Linked DNA regions of Mus musculus: regions 1 and 2 are each reported to be linked to region 3. The links are microRNA targets in miRTarBase. Many come from high-throughput screens and were not tested one by one. Region 3 holds a microRNA gene; each other region holds the end of a gene's coding sequence. Distances are from middle to middle.

The links. The annotated mature microRNA mmu-miR-539-5p reads GGAGAAAUUAUCCUUGGUGUGU and lies in region 3 at 2,074-2,095, opposite strand. An mRNA with a match to its seed (bases 2 to 7 or 8) in the 3' UTR can be bound and repressed. Matches are read on the target gene's strand: a 7mer-m8 pairs with bases 2 to 8, a 7mer-A1 pairs with bases 2 to 7 and ends in A, and an 8mer does both.
Region 1: miRTarBase lists Ncbp3 as a target of mmu-miR-539-5p. Seed matches in the 3' UTR shown: 7mer-m8 at 2,449-2,455, 8mer at 4,757-4,764 and 7mer-m8 at 4,862-4,868.
Region 2: the mRNA of Syne2 is a reported target of mmu-miR-539-5p. Seed matches in the 3' UTR shown: 7mer-A1 at 3,636-3,642.

What each region holds. Positions count from the first base shown.
Region 1 is chr11:73,078,287-73,083,360 of GRCm38, forward strand. Ncbp3 (nuclear cap binding subunit 3) reads left to right here. Exons shown (of 13, transcript NM_025818.3): 13 at 655-5,074. The coding sequence ends at 890. Among named protein-coding and RNA genes, the nearest start is that of Itgae, 9.8 kb to the right of the region's middle.
Region 2 is chr12:76,109,460-76,114,533 of GRCm38, reverse strand. Syne2 (spectrin repeat containing, nuclear envelope 2) reads right to left here. Exons shown (of 116, transcript NM_001005510.2): 116 at 3,606-4,712. The coding sequence ends at 4,490. Among named protein-coding and RNA genes, the nearest start is that of Esr2, 65 kb to the left of the region's middle.
Region 3 is chr12:109,725,157-109,730,230 of GRCm38, reverse strand. Mir539 (microRNA 539) reads right to left here and starts at 2,102; the gene lies at 2,029-2,102. Mir381 (microRNA 381) reads right to left here and starts at 3,409; the gene lies at 3,335-3,409. Mir487b (microRNA 487b) reads right to left here and starts at 2,898; the gene lies at 2,817-2,898. Mir544 (microRNA 544) reads right to left here and starts at 906; the gene lies at 829-906.

The DNA of each region.
Region 1 (5,074 bases), not on the chromosome of region 3:
TTTTGCTTTACTCTTCATAAGTAAATTAAACCTTTAATTATCTTGTAGTATATGTATATCACCACATTCTAAACACATGCTTCTTTGTAAGGTTTTAATAAAACACTTCTTTTGGGGGATTTTTTTTATGTTTTGCTTACATGTTTGTCTGTGTACTGTGTACATGTCTGGTGCCCTTGGAGGTGGGAAGAGGGCATTGGATCCCCTGGAAGTGGAGTTATGGACTGTTGTAAGGTACCATGTGGGTGTTGGAAACATAACCAGGTCCTCTGCAAGAACAAGTACGCTTAACCAATAAGGCCTTCAGCCAATACATAAACACACTTTAAAAATGTATAGCTGAAAACCTGAGAATTGCTCATAGTAAAACAGACCCGTTCAGTTTGCAGAATGTGAGAGTTGGCGGTTTCTTGGCAGACTGAGGGGTACACAGCCTGGGAGAGAGGCAAGTGTCTAGTTTGTGCCTGGTATGGGGACACCAGCCTTGAGCTGTGAGCATCTCCCATCGAGTCTCAGGCTGTCCACTTACAGACTGGCACCAAGCACCTCTCCCGATGTTTCCTGCAGAGCAGGTGTTGGCAGTGTCCTTACTTCCACAGAACTACTTGGTACTCGGCATCGACTGCCAACTGAAGTGTCTTCTCACCCCAACAGGTGGTTTGTGGACTCGCTTAGGATCTACACCCAAGACCAAAGAAAAGAACACGAAGAAAGTGGATCACAGGGCATCTGGTGCTGAGGAAGATGACTCGGAGCTTCAGAGAGCATGGGGTGCTCTGATCAAGGAGAAAGAAGAGTCTCGCCAGAAGAAGAGTCGGCTGGATAGCTTGCCTTCGCTCCAGATTGAAGTCAGCCGGGAAAGTAGCTCTGGTTCAGAGGCAGAGTCCTGATGCCCTGGCCTTGGCAACTGCCCTTAAATCTGACATTCTTACATAAGGTGGGGCGTGCAGTGGGAACCTCCCTTGCAGGAGCTGGCGCCCTTTCCTCCTACCTGCACCCTGAACACTTGCTGTCCTAGTAGGACAGCTTAAGAGTGTGATGAGTTTTGAAGGAAGGGTGTCTCTGTCTTGTGCTGCAGAGTTACAGTTCTGGGTCCTCAAGTCTTCCCCACCACCCCACAAGCTTTACCCTTGGAGTTAAAGGCAACCCTCCAGATTTTGTAGACATTTTCTTAATATTTTTAACATTGTGTCTTTTAAAAGCAATGTTTTACACAGTCATCCAAAGAGCCGAGAACTGAACTTCTCATTGTTGCCTTGGCCCTGACAGATCTTGCCAGCACCCTGTTCCAAGAAAAGTCAGTTCTCAGGTGCTTACTGGACAGTCTTTGAGGGGGAAGATGAGGGAAGCTGCCAGCTCAGCCTTCCAGGGCCTTAGTGTGGTGGCTAAGTCTCTCAGACCTGACCTGAGACCCTCCCGAGTAGATATGCTTGCAGCAGCAGTCAGCAGTGGCTTCCATTCCTCCCGGGGGGAGTCTTTTAGAGCCTTTTGCTGGCTGGTAGCCTGGTGTAAAGACCAAGTTCAGTGCTGTAGGACTTCTAGGGACAAACAACTGTGACTTCTGGATTTGGAGTTGATTTCTGTGCTTAGGGGTGGGGTCTTGGGTTGATGTTGAACAATTTTTAAGTCTGTATTATGTTTAAAAACTATTAATGACTTAAAAGTTTAAATTTTTAATTTTTATATGTGGATATTCCTCCTGTTGGCTAAGGGGAAGCTCAAGTGGTGTCTTTTGTGTTGTTAAATATACATTATATACTTTGGAAGAAGGCAAAGAAAGGAGTGTCATTATTTTGAATGGTACCAATTGTATGGTCTGTTGTACTTGAGTTCAACTTGCTTTGTGGCCACTGTAGGAAAGAAACTGCTGTCCATCTGTGATGGGCTCTTGTTTATTCCCACTTTTCTAGAAATGATACCCTGAGAATTCACTCTTTGTGTCTCTGACTTATTATTGAAGACTTATTCAAAACTAGCAAATAAGACAGTAGTTTCAGAAAATGTAAGTTTATGTTTATTCTCCTTTCAAATGATTTTACCATGGAAAGGGAGTAAGTAGATTATTTGGCTTCTCATCTGACTTTACTTTATAGTATTTAATACTGTATTGCTCTACAGGCTTAAAAGTGGTGTTTCACTTGAGTGCATAAGCATGCCTTTGGGATGTCAAGCTCTTCACCTGCTCGGCTTGTTCTGTGCCCAGTAGGTCACAGAGCACTTGACTTGTGGTTGAGCACGTGTCCCTTGGTGGCTGCCTACACTGTGAATGAACAGTGATGCACATGAAGAAGCAGAAGACTTCAGAACTAAGTCGTAACAAAACTGTATCATATGTATCATTTGGTTAGCAACCCCACCCCACCCCCATCTCCACCCTACCCCCAGAAAGATGGGAGCATATAACCAAAGTGGTTTGGCTTCTGAGGATCCTAGAAAAAGGTAGTTCTAATTTCTCTGCCAGTTCAGACCTAAGTCCTCCAAGGTTTCTAAGTTTATCTTGCCCTTTGTAGCTCACAGCTTACAGTCAGGTTCTTAGAGGTTCAGACTTTGGTAGAGTAAGAAGAAAAATGGCCTGAGAACAGAGACCTGGATGCCAACCAGGACTCTACACACTGGGCCTGAGCCTTGGTTTCCCCATGAAGCAAGGAAATGGTCTGGTGCAGAGATTCTGGCTTTGTTGATATCTCTCAGTGGTATTTTATTCTTGGAAGTTGTGGCTGCAGCATGTTTTTCTGTTGAGGTGGCCAAAGTGTCAGGGAACAAGGTGGCCATGAGATTGTGAACAGAGACTCACCCCATCCGTTTACAGGCTCCAGTTCTCCCAGTGTGTTGAAGATGTGCCTGTGGGGTCTAGAGCCCCAACCCATCCTCAGCTTTCTTATTGTTCTATCTGGCAACCCAGGCCCATTTGCCTAGGGTCTTTGAGCACTTGTCAACCTCCTGCTAGAGATGAGGGGAGGACTTTATGGAAGGTAGGCAGTATGTATTCAAAACTAACTCCTTGAGCTGACCAGGAAAGATGCCCTTGAGCAGCATTGCAGTTTTTACAGCACAGACAACCCAGAAACGTACATACTGCCTAAAGTGATGGTCTGCCCAGCATCTCTCTCTCCAGCCAGCTCTCAGAGCTGCCCAGAGCTTCAACACCTTGAACCCTATGTGCTTAGGAGTGACAGTAGTCAGGATAGCCCAGCAGGCAGCTGGGTATACTTTATTCAGGGCACTTTCTGTACATGTGGGGTTAGTCTTTATATGTAGGAGATTATTAAATGCCCTTTTGCTGCTTCATAATAATTGCAGATACCTCATCTTTGTTTCCTACTACTCTTCTTTGTAGAGGGGCCTGATGGCCTCTGGCCCTCCTCTATCATAATTCCATGATTCCTTCCCCTGCTTCTGTCTTTCCTTTCTGCGGCAGCTTCTCTCAACCCTCCCTCTTCATTCTACACATTGTAGTGGGGGCAAATTTTTACTTGAGAGATACGTACATAGTATGCAGTTTATCCTTGTACAGTGTACATTTGATTGTCGTCTATTTACAGAGCTGTGGAACCATTATCATCATCAGTTTTAGAACATATTTATCACCAGAAAAATCCTGTTCCCACTAGCAGTCCTCCTTCACCTCTCCTCAGACCTGGCAACTACTAATCTTTCTGTCCTTGTGGATTTGCCTATAACGGACCTTTCATAAATGTTATATGCGATGTGCAATGTGTCTGTTTACTTAGTTTTAAGGTTCATCTGTGCCATGGTATATATCATCATTTCAAGTAGTGAGTACCTCTCTCTCTCTCTCTCTCTTTCTCTCTCTCTCTGTGTGTGTGTGTGTGTGTGTGTGTGTGTGTGCGCGTGTGCGCTTAGACATTTTCATTGTGTGGCCCTGGCTGCCCTTAGAACAGGCTGGTCTTGAGTTCACAGAGGAAGCTCTGCTTCCCAGGTGCTGGGATTAAAGGTGTGTGGCACTGTGCCTGCCAGTGGGTTTGTTTTGTTTTGTCTTTTCTCTTCAGTTTTTTAAATTGTCTAAATATTTCATTACAGTGCATATAATGGGCGTTCTGTGATTTCTAGTCAGGACGATCATGAATAGGCTTCTGTATATATGTGTGTGCAACACCCCTTCATGTTCTCCTTCATGGACATGTGGGGGTTTTGGTGGTGGTGGAGGTGGGTTTTTGTTTGTTTGTTTGTTTTTGTTTTTGAGACAGGGTTTCCCTGTGTAACAAGCTCTGTCTGTCCTGGACTCAATTTGTAGACCAGGCTGGCCTCGAACTCACAGAGACCCTCCTGCCTCTGCTAGCCAAGTGCTGGGATTAAAGGGGTGCACCACCACACCCAGCGTGTTTTCATTCTTTTGTATAGGAATAGAATGGATGGATCGTAAGGCAGCTCTTACCTTTAGTCTTTGGAGGAATTGCCAAGCTGTGTTCCCATGGAGGATATCAGGATTCCAGTTTATCAAGTCTTCACCAATATTGTTTACTAATTTGAAGTGTGTTTCATTGTGTATGTGCTGTGTTTTATTTTGTGGCAGTGCAGGGGACCAGACCCAGGACTTGCAGATGTAGACAAGTATTGTACCACTGGGCTCCATCCACAGTCCCTTAGCTGGTTCTGAGTTGCAGTTTCCTAATAACTAGTGATGTTGGCCATTATGTCTTCCTCTTCCTCCTGTGTCTGTGTCTGTGGTTTTAAGATAGGGTTTCATGTGTTGGACAATATTTTTGTTTTGTCTTTTTTTTTTTTCAAAGATAGAATTTCTCAGGCTGGGGAAATAGGCTTACAACCAAAAATATAAGAGTTCGGTTCCTAGCACCCATAGCTGTCTCTCCAGCCACAAAAAAAAAAAAAAAGAAAAAGAATTTCTCTGTGTAGCCCTGGCTGTTCTGGAACTCCAGGCTAGCCTCAGAGTCAGAGATCTGCCTGCTACTGCCTCCTGAGTGCTGGGATTAAAGGCATGCACCACCACGCCTAGCTATGTTGGGCATATTTTCATGTATAACAAGATGAACTCTTAAGATATCAATCTGATCTTAACTATGCTTGTGCTTGAGACCTTTCCAGAACTTCATCA
Region 2 (5,074 bases), 34 Mb from region 3:
AGGGTTGAACTACTAACATATTGTGATGGTTATTGTCAGCTGCAGCTCTTCATTGCTGAGGGAGCACACCTAGGAGGGAAGCACCTAACTGTGGGCAGCAGGAGTCCATGGGCTGGTGTCCCTGCCTGAGGGAAGAGAAGCCAGTAAGACACAGACATTTGTGTGCCTCCACGTTCTGACTGAGGTATTTCATTACTGCGACGAAATGTACACATGCAGGAAAGTCTCACTTCCAGACAGGTTGTGGGTCTCGAAGTCTCAGTCATTCACAAAGATAAATATAAGTGGAACAGAAAGCTTAGAGGCAAAGCCTTCCAAAAAATTTTCAAAGTGATGTTTGGGGGCTCAGTGGTTAAGCACACTGCTCTTGCAGAGGACCTGAGCTCAGTTGCCAGTACTCATCACATCAGGTGGCCCACAACTGCCTGTAACTGCAGTTCCAGGGGATCTGACAACCACTTCTGGTCTTTGCAGACGCCTCCACTCGTGTGTGTGTGTACCACACACAATATACACAAGTATACATTTAAGTAAAAAAATAAAAATCATTCAATTTTTTTCCTTGACCATTTCAATTCTATTTACCTGATCCTTTCACTTCTCCAAGATCTATTCCTTTCTGACCCACCGAACTCTGCTTTTTTTTTTTTTTTTTTTTTTTTTTAAAGTATAGCTGGGCGTGGTGACGCATGCCTTTAATCCCAGCACTCAGATTTCTGAGTTTGAGGCCAGCCTGGTCTACAAAGTGAGTTCCAGGGCTATACAGAGAAACCCTGTCTCAAAAAACCAAAAAAAAAAAAAAAAAAAAAAAACAAACAAACAAAAAAAAAAAAACAGTTTGTGTTACCCAGATGTTCTTACACCCTTAAAGAAAATAGACTCTCCCTCTCCCAAACACTATCAACTTCCAATAGCTCCTAAGGCAGGATTGGGACTTAGCATCCACCTCCCCTCTCCATGATGAAATTCTGTCTGGCCTGAGCCAGCACTGGTCTTGTGCATGCTGTCTCTATTGCTGTGAAATCATATGTGCAGCCGTTCTGTGTCTAGAATGTCCTGTTTCTTGTCACTCTTATGCTGACTCTTACAGTCTCTCCAAACCCTCTTCTACAATGAACCCTGAGCCTTTGGAGGAAGGGGGTATGACATAGATACAGGGCTGAGCCTTCTACAGTCTCTTATCCTCTGCATCTTGATCAGTTGTGGGTTTTCCGTGTGAATTACCACCTACTGGAAAAAGCCTCTCTTATGAGAGTTGATGGATGCACTAATCTATGGCTGTAACAGTAACCCGTTAGGAGTTAGTTTAATACAGTAATGGATCCTCCCTTTGTAATGTGTCCACACACAGGTCCCTTGGTCCTGATAAAAAGGGAAGATGGGCGGTTAATCCCAAGACATTCACACCACTATTATAGCAGTGGCATTGTAACTGTCTTCCAGGCTGGCTGTTGCTATAGTTCTCAGGGCTCACAGCTGGGCAAGATTGGTGACTTCGGGGCAGGAGTGGTGGCTTTTAACCCTGGGGCACTCTGGAGACAGAGGCTGGTAGATATCTGAGTTCAAGGCTTGCCTGGTCTATATAGTTGAGTTCTATGCCAGCCAGGACTACACAGTGAGGCTCTGTCTCAAAAAACAAAAACAAACAAACAAACAAACCAACCAAGCAAACAAAAAACAAAACCCAAAAGCCCAAAAAATTATTCCTTTCCATCTCTGGTAGCATCTTCATGTACTGTGAAAGCTGGCCAGTAAGGATGGCGAAGCCTCCATGCGAGTGGCAGCTTAACTTCTCTGGGTTTTGTGACTCAAGTGTGTTGTGTCTTCAGTACTGGGCTTTCCTATGAAGTACAAGAGTGTAACTGAGAACATTGGTAATAGCCTGTAATGTTTCAAATCGTTATTATTTTGTGTATGTGCGGGAGGGTCTCACTATATAACCTTGGCTGGCCTGGAATTTAGAGGTACAGTTGCCTCTGTCTCCCCAGGGGAACTGTAACATCAAGTGAGGCGCTCCTTCAGTTTTAATAGATGGCTTTGCTAGGTGTAACAGTTAGGCTCTTTCAGGATTTGGAATACAGCTTTTCAGGCCCTTTAAAGGTCTGTAAACTAATCAGTGGTTATTGTGACCCACATGGCTTTGTAAGTGACTTGACCTTCCCTCTCTTGGAGCTCCAAAGCCCTTTTTCATATTTTGCATTTTTAATATTTTAACTATAATACACTGTGGAAAATTCCTTTTCCCATCTTACCTATTTAGCATCCTCAGGAATCCTTTTCCTTAGGTTTGGGGGATTTTCTTCTATGATATCTGTGAATAGGTTTTCTAGGCCTTCATTATACCTTCTTCTCCTCCCATGCCCAGGATTATGCCTTTTTATGAGGTTCCAAAACTTTTCCATGCTGCATGTTATTGTTATTATTAAATTTCTCTTGATCTTCACTGAAAGATCCAATTCCTTTGTCTTTCATCCCTGTCTGTTTTTGACACAATCCATTCTGTTCCCATTCTGGCTTCCCACTGAGGCTGTTACATGGTTTATTGAAAATTTCATTTCTAACATTTCCATCTGAATTGTCTTAAAAAAACTCAAAACTATTTAGACTAGCTCCTTTATTTTGTCTCTGTCTTGAGTTGTTTGACTATAGTTACAGTCACTCTTTGGATTATTTAAGTTCTTCTATGTCATTTTCATTAGGGGCCATAACTGTGGGATTTGTACATCTGGAATTTGTTGGGTGAGGGTTGTTTTTTAAAAGTGTATTTATTTTTATGTATGTGAGTGTTCCATCTGATTCTACATCTGCATATCAGAAGAGGGCATCAGATCCTATTGTAGATGGTGGTGAGCTGGGATGTGGGTCCTGGGAATTGAACTCAAGACCATCAGAAGAGCAGCCAGTGCTCCTAACCACTGACCCATCTCTCCAGACTGGTTGAAGATTTTCTTTTATTCAAGTCTTCATCTTTCAGCAGAGGTATTTAGTGTTCAGGATGCAAATGCACAGCAGCACTGGGAACCATTTTGTTTGGTAAATGGAGATATAGCCTCTCTCCAGGTCTTGTTTCTCTGCTAGTCTGGCATTGTCTTCAGCTCTAGAACAAGTTTCACCTGGCAGTAGGGACTGACTAGTCCTGGGTCTTAAGGCTGCGGAGGATAGCTGGCAGGACTCTGGACAGTGGGGTATATAGGTGGTGATTGAATAGTCCCTGGTGGCTATTGTGTTGGGATCTGGTGAGTCCTGGAGGGAGGAGAGACAGGCTAGGAGGAGGAGGCCGTCCCTGGCAAGCAGCCAGAGGACTTGGGTGACCCAAATGGACGCTAGGAAGGAAAGTGCAGGTTTCCTATGTGTCTACATGACATGTGATGGCTACAGCCTTCCTGGGATCAGCTGAGTCTCAGGGAGACAGAGAGGAGGGGGCAGTGTGAGGGACAGAGAACACAGTCAGCCTACCTACCTGGCTGGGTCTGTACCACAGGTGGCAGCTGTAGGGTCCATGGTAGCCATGGGCTGGGACCAGGTGAGTCTAAGATATTTGTTATATTTGGGAGACCAAGTGCACCACTGATCTGCTTTCTAAAAGAGTCCAATACACAAGCAGGGCTTTTTTTTTTTTTTTTTTTTTTTTTTAATGAGAAACATCTGAGTTGACATATCACAAATAGTTCCAAGTTTCTTTACCAACCCCTGGTGGCCAAACAGCTCAACCAGACCTGAAGTATCTCTTTAAACATGAAAAGTCTTAAAAAATTAAATTATAAAAACATCCCTATCAAGTCTGTAGTTTGGCATTTACTGTACATGAGTCAAAAGCTCAGGCTAAAATCTGTTTTTTTTTAAATCAAAGTTTACATTATACATACAGATTCAGCATTGTTAAAAAATATGCACAAATAACGACATCCATGCAATAAAATTTCCTTAGAAATTTTTAAAGCAATGTAAAAAGAGCTGACCCGGGTGCTGAATGGGAGGTTTTGGTTTATAACCTGGGAAGTATAGACTACTAGCTGATTGGAGGAAAACTGATTCTAAATATTTAAAATGTGTTTGAATCAACCAATCAGCTCAGTGCACAGGAATTTCCGAACCATTACTAAATAAGGTAGGGGGCCCACTAGCTTCTTGGATATAGGTCATTTACGTGCTGAACACCATTGTTCATGGGCCTTATGAGCTGTGCTACAATAACTGTTTTCCACAGTGTGTGGCTCTTCCAGAGGCCCCGCCCCCACCCCTTTCCGGAGTTCTCTGAACCCATCTGGTAACTTTATCTGAATGCCAGGTCCTGCTGTGCTTGATTCTCTGTTCCAGCAGAAGGACATCTTGTCTGAGTTGTCCTGGGCTCCCAGAGTCCACTTGGACAAGAGGAGGGAGTCCCTGGACCTTGTCAAGGCAAAGTCACTCCGGGGTTAGTCTGATCCCACGAGCTGAGCACTTGTGGTCAACAGGCTGTCGGCCATGGCACTGCAGCTGGTGGAACCTTCTAGGTGGGAGGTGGCCCGTTGGTGTACCGCAGCATGGGGTAGAAGGATCGGGCAAAGTTGTTGGCCTGGGTGCAGCTGTAGTCATCTTCAGAGGCAGGTAGCAGGCAGGCCAGGAGCAGCAGCAGCAGCAGAAGCAGCTGCAACGGTAGCGCTGCCCTGATCACCCTTGAGAGGAAGGAGCGTCTCGGCTGGGAGCTGCCGGGGCTGTCGAGGTGGGGCATCCTGACAACAGAGAGGTGGGGGGCACTCATCAGGAAGGTTCTTAAGGTACACTCACCATCATCTGACTATATGCTTAGGGAAAGAAATCAGGGCTCTGGGATGTGAGGCTCAAATAAGCTGGCAGCTGGGGTGATGGCTGATTAACACTTAAATTGATAAGGTATAGATTCATATAGGAGATAAGCCTTTGGGCATGGCGGTGAGGGATTTTCTAGATTAGGCTAACCTGGAGCACAAGGTCCCCAATGGAGGAGCTAGAGAAAGGACCGAAGGAGCTTACAGCCCCATAGGAGGAACAACAATACGAACCAACCAGTATCCCTAGAGGTCCCAGGGACTAAACCACCAACCAAAGAAAAACA
Region 3 (5,074 bases):
AGAACATGAATGACCTCAAATATTCTCAGAGATCTCTGACAGGAAAACCGGGGCCTCTTGTCTACTGTCCTCTCTCCTTCCAGAAGATTCTTCCAATGACAAATTGAATTCCTAGACTCTGAGAGGTGAATTCCCATAGTCTGTAAGAAAGCACATGAGCTGACAGCAACCACTCACTGCTACACATTGGTCCTAGGGCTAAAATCTGGTCTGACGGAAAAACTCATTCCCACAAGAGCTTCCTAAGGCAGGTCAATTTAGAAACAAAATGGAAGTCTATCTGGTCCTCCCTGAGAGGTAAGCTGGATGGCAAGAAGCCAGCAGCTGGCCGAATATCATGGAAGGGCAATGGCACCATGGGCATTACCTCTCTCGATAACGTCGAGGGTTGCTGGTAGATACGACAGATAGGACTCCTCCTTCCCCAGAAGCTGTGGTTCCAGAACTGTGCTCCTTACAATTGACTGGAAATGGAGAGTTACAGAGTCAGATGGTCTCAGTCACCAATAACCTGGTGCTGACAAGTCCTGCTGTTGGCTGACATAGGCAGCCCCTCCTTGAAGTAGCTCTTATATCTGGGAAGCCCATAGAGGCATGCTTTGATTTGAAAGAATAATCAATAATCAATAATGGTGTTTGTACAGCAGGTGGCCTTTCACAACTGACCACAGTTTGATCATCAAAAGGTAGCATATTGGCTCAATGCTCACTCATGATGGATAATGCGGGGTGGATGGAGGAGATGGAGCACACACACTACAAGGAACATGCAACATCACCTCCAGCCCCCAGTGGCTACATGTGTTGTCCACGGACCGGCAGCATTAGCATCACTTGAGAGCTTGCTAAAAATGCAGAATCTTGGCCCCTCAATCAGACTCTGCTTTTTAACAAGATCCCTAGGTGACGAATATCTTAGCAGCGTTGAGCAGTTTGAGAGGCCCTACACTAACCAACAATTTGTACAAGCATGCATGCAGGCACACACACACACACACACACACACACACACACACACACACACACACCAGATTATGGAATGAGCTGAAATGGTATGCTATTGACCAGGTATGTCTAAGAAAAAGTCAGCCCAAAGGAAGCCATAGGAACAGATAGAGAGTGACTTAAGGCAGCGGCGGCGGCAGGAAGTATCCTTATTAACACCTGTATTAACCACAGGAAGTCTATGCTCAGAATGGATGCTGAGGAGAGTGGGTGCTGGACCTAGAAGACCCTGGCCAAGTTCTGTCTACCTAAAGAGATGCTTGACCCAGTACCTTCTCAAGGAGTTCCTCTGAACTAAGACTTAACAGCAACAACAGACAGGTGAGTTATTCTCAGTGTTCTCCAGACCAAGCACAAAGAAGCAAGCCACCAAAGCTGTTGCCACCTCAAAGCTGTCACTGTGAGAGTACATGGGGGGGGGGGTGCCTTCTGAGGTTACTCTGCCTCAATAAATTCTCCCTCTCCTGCAGCAGGTACCAATGTCCATTAGCTGAAGTCACCACTGTGCTCTAGGACCTTCGGAAGCAAATCCAGATATGGGGCAAACAATGGTCGTCCCAATTAATCTCCATAAATATGGCGAGCACACTATTGATAGCCACCCTGCAAATGTCAGAGAACCACCGCACCGAGAAAAACCGCAGGACCTCCTCTCACGATCCAGACCAGACAGCTCGCCGGCCTCTGTCATTCAAGCACATGCTTGTGGAACCAGTCACACTCTTGAGCAAGGGGCCGGGGCCTGACCCCAGTGACTATCTGTGAGATTGGCTGCCCATCCAAAAAAAAAAAGAACGATTTGCCAAGTCATGAAAACTGTGCTATCTCACCATGACCAAGCCACGTAGGAACCCCTGGACTCTTCAAGCAAGATCCTGACTTGGGATCAGAGTGTAGCTCTTACACATCAGTTCTGTGCTCTCTTGCCTTGTGCCCAGGTAAGGCTAACCCATGCATCATGCACCAGGCACCTCTTTAAACAACCGTCTCGTCATCCCGGAAGTCCACCAGGGCAGTATTTGATACTCAAAAAGAAATTATCCTTGTATGATTCATCCAAAAGAGCCAACACACCAAGGATAATTTCTCCTCAAGTATGAAACAGTAGCACAGCAGGAATACCAGCATCCATAGGCCTCTTGGGAGTGATCACCACTCCTCACACGTGGCTGCACCCAATACATACATGCACCATGCATGCAGTACTACTGATGGCCATTCTAAGCACCAGGGAGGTGAGAGGCTATAGAAATGACTCCCCAGGACTCAGCATGACAACCTCACGTTAGCCTCTTCTAAGGGTAATGGTGGCTGGGGTCAAGAAGCCAGGCAGTGTCCATCTTAAGTGGAGCAAGCATTGTGGGTGGCCCTGCTGACCCCCGGCATGGGGTCTTCTGTTCTAGAAGCTGCTACAGAAATGATGTCACTGCCGAGTCACAAGCACCACCTTGTAAGTCCAGCACAAACTCTAAGCTCCAACACCCACTCACATGACTGACAGAGAATGTCTGTCTCAACATGGGCTCCCAAATCCAAGGAGAGGTTTGTATATCACCATCATAGCTGCCAGCAGTCAGCTCCCAGCAGACAAAAGTTTGGGCTGGCACATGGTCAATAATGAGCCTAGTCCCTACAAGAGCCTGATCTCTCCCAGCCCCCGAGAGCCATATGCATTGGACCCCAAGAGGACTCGCGAGTGACACACGAGACAAGGAGCATAACACGGCGACACCCTTGTCCAAGGATGTGTGATGGGAAGTGGCAGTGGCAGGATCCAGGCGCAGGAAGCCAGGCTGCAGAGTCTGCGCACTTGATACTGAAAAAGTGGATGACCCTGTACGATTCGGCATGAGTGAAGCGAAGAGGACAGGGATAACCACTCTCCAAGTACCAAAGCTCGGCCTGGAAAGCAAAGCCACCGCCTCAGGTAGACGTGCTACGTCTTCCAGGTAGGGTCCTGGGGACGAATTAGACGCTGAGCGTTAGCAGACTGGGTCACACACACCAAGCAAGAACATGCACACTTGGGTACCACGGCACGGCAGCACATCAAAAAACAACGGCCCACACCAGCACAGACCTGACCATCAGCCTGGGAAAGCAGGGACCCAGGCTACACACAGAGAGCATGCTTTGGGACCAACCCATATGGACAAGGAGAGGGGATGTACCCGAGGTCTTTCCTGAAGTCATCTTGCGCCCATGAAGCCGTTGGTGCATAAAGGAAACCCAGGAAGCAGTTTGTCACACACAAGATGGATACACACGGTCATGCACACACATACCACATCCCTCGCTGAGTGTGGACGGGATCCAAGATAAGGTTTGATACTCACAGAGAGCTTGCCCTTGTATATTCCATGTCAATAAACCGAATATACAAAGGGCAACCTCGCTTTAAGTACCAAACAATAGCATGGGGCAGGTTCCGCTCTAGCATTCACGGGGTCAGCCTCGTCTCCTGGGACTTAGCCTGGGGAGGGATGATGGGAGATTCGGAATCAGCCAATTACATGGCAAACACCACCTGCCAGATGTGTGCCCACTGGTCAGCTCTCCATCCAAGGAGCTTGGGCTGGGACAGATACTTGGGGGGTGGGGGGGACCTTTTTCTGATATTACTGGCAGATGTTACAACAGATTGAGATTTTCACTCTCTCAGGAAATACAGAACTCAGATTTTTGCTTTCTGTAGGTAAACCCTGGTTAGGACTACAATCTTATCCTTAGCACTTTCTCTATGATGCCCACCTGGCTGTACACTGCACACAGAGGACAGGAGGACCCCAGGAATTTATAGAAGTGATTAAAGCCAATCCTTTCTGCCTTCCCAGTAACGGGTATCAGTGTCACTCCCAGGACCGGACCCTGCCCCACTAATTCTGCCCGATAGTGGAATGGGACAGAACTAGAAGGAAGTTGATGCCATACAGGGGTCAAACTCCACATGCCACTGAATGATGGAACCATCTTTCCTTTTTGGGACCTCTTCCCCAGAAAAGAGCAGGCAGGAATGGCCACAGGTTTGCACTGAATCATGGCAAGGAAAAACACTCACCTTTTTTTGACGGGATGGGTTGCTTCCATAGGTGCGGGCTGTTAAAACTGCCCCCTTCTGATCTAGGTATAGCCACAGAAGAACACCAGATAGACCGCACGGAATGGGAAACTTCAGCCTCTTCCCAAAGACAGACACCACTTCCAGGAAGTCCTCACTTGGAGAGGGGTGGACCAGGCCTGAAATCATTATAAATAAAGATGTATAAACCAGTACTTGTATCAAAGCTGGGATAGTCTAACATCATGCTTTATCTTCTAAGGTGAATGCTGTGAGCAACAAGGCTCTGGAGATGGCTTGGTACAAACAGACGGCAGGTCTGAGGGCCACTGTCTTTTAACAAGCAAGCCACTGTTGGGTGATTATGTTCAATGCAAGTGCAACAGGCACCACAGTACCCTCTCCCACCCTCAAGAGCAAAAGATCAGGCACCAAGAGGACAAGGAGGACCAGAGACTAATAGCTTAGCCAAAGGTCCCATCTTAGAACCAAGAATTGGTACATACCCGAGAAAGTCAGAAGTCACGTTGTATCAGGAGACCTGACCCAAAGATGGAACAGGGCTGGAGTAGTTCCCAGATAGAGTTAGATGTGAGGACAAGTGCCTCTTGCAGTCTATTACCATCAATAAAGAGAACATACCGGAGGCTATCCTCTTTACATGAACCAAGAGTTGGGCCAGGGAACAGTGAAGCACCTGTGAGCCTGGGCTGAGCACAGGGGCTGGTGAAGCAAGCCTCAGCTGGCTGGCTCTGGAATTGGCTGCATACTCTGCACACTGGTACCCAGCCCTAAAGTTAGTTTACTTCTCAGTATCACTCCAAAACAGGGTGATCTTCCAAAAGACTAGGGTGGGGCATGGGAGGATGGGCATGGGGTGGGGTGGGGGTGGGGATTCTGTGTAACTTAACAAAAAAGTGACAGAGAATGATTGGCATTCCAGAGCCTGCAAAGCCACCCTGGCAAGAAAGCCTCCACCTGTGCCCACAGCTGCAGCCTCCAGGAAGTCCT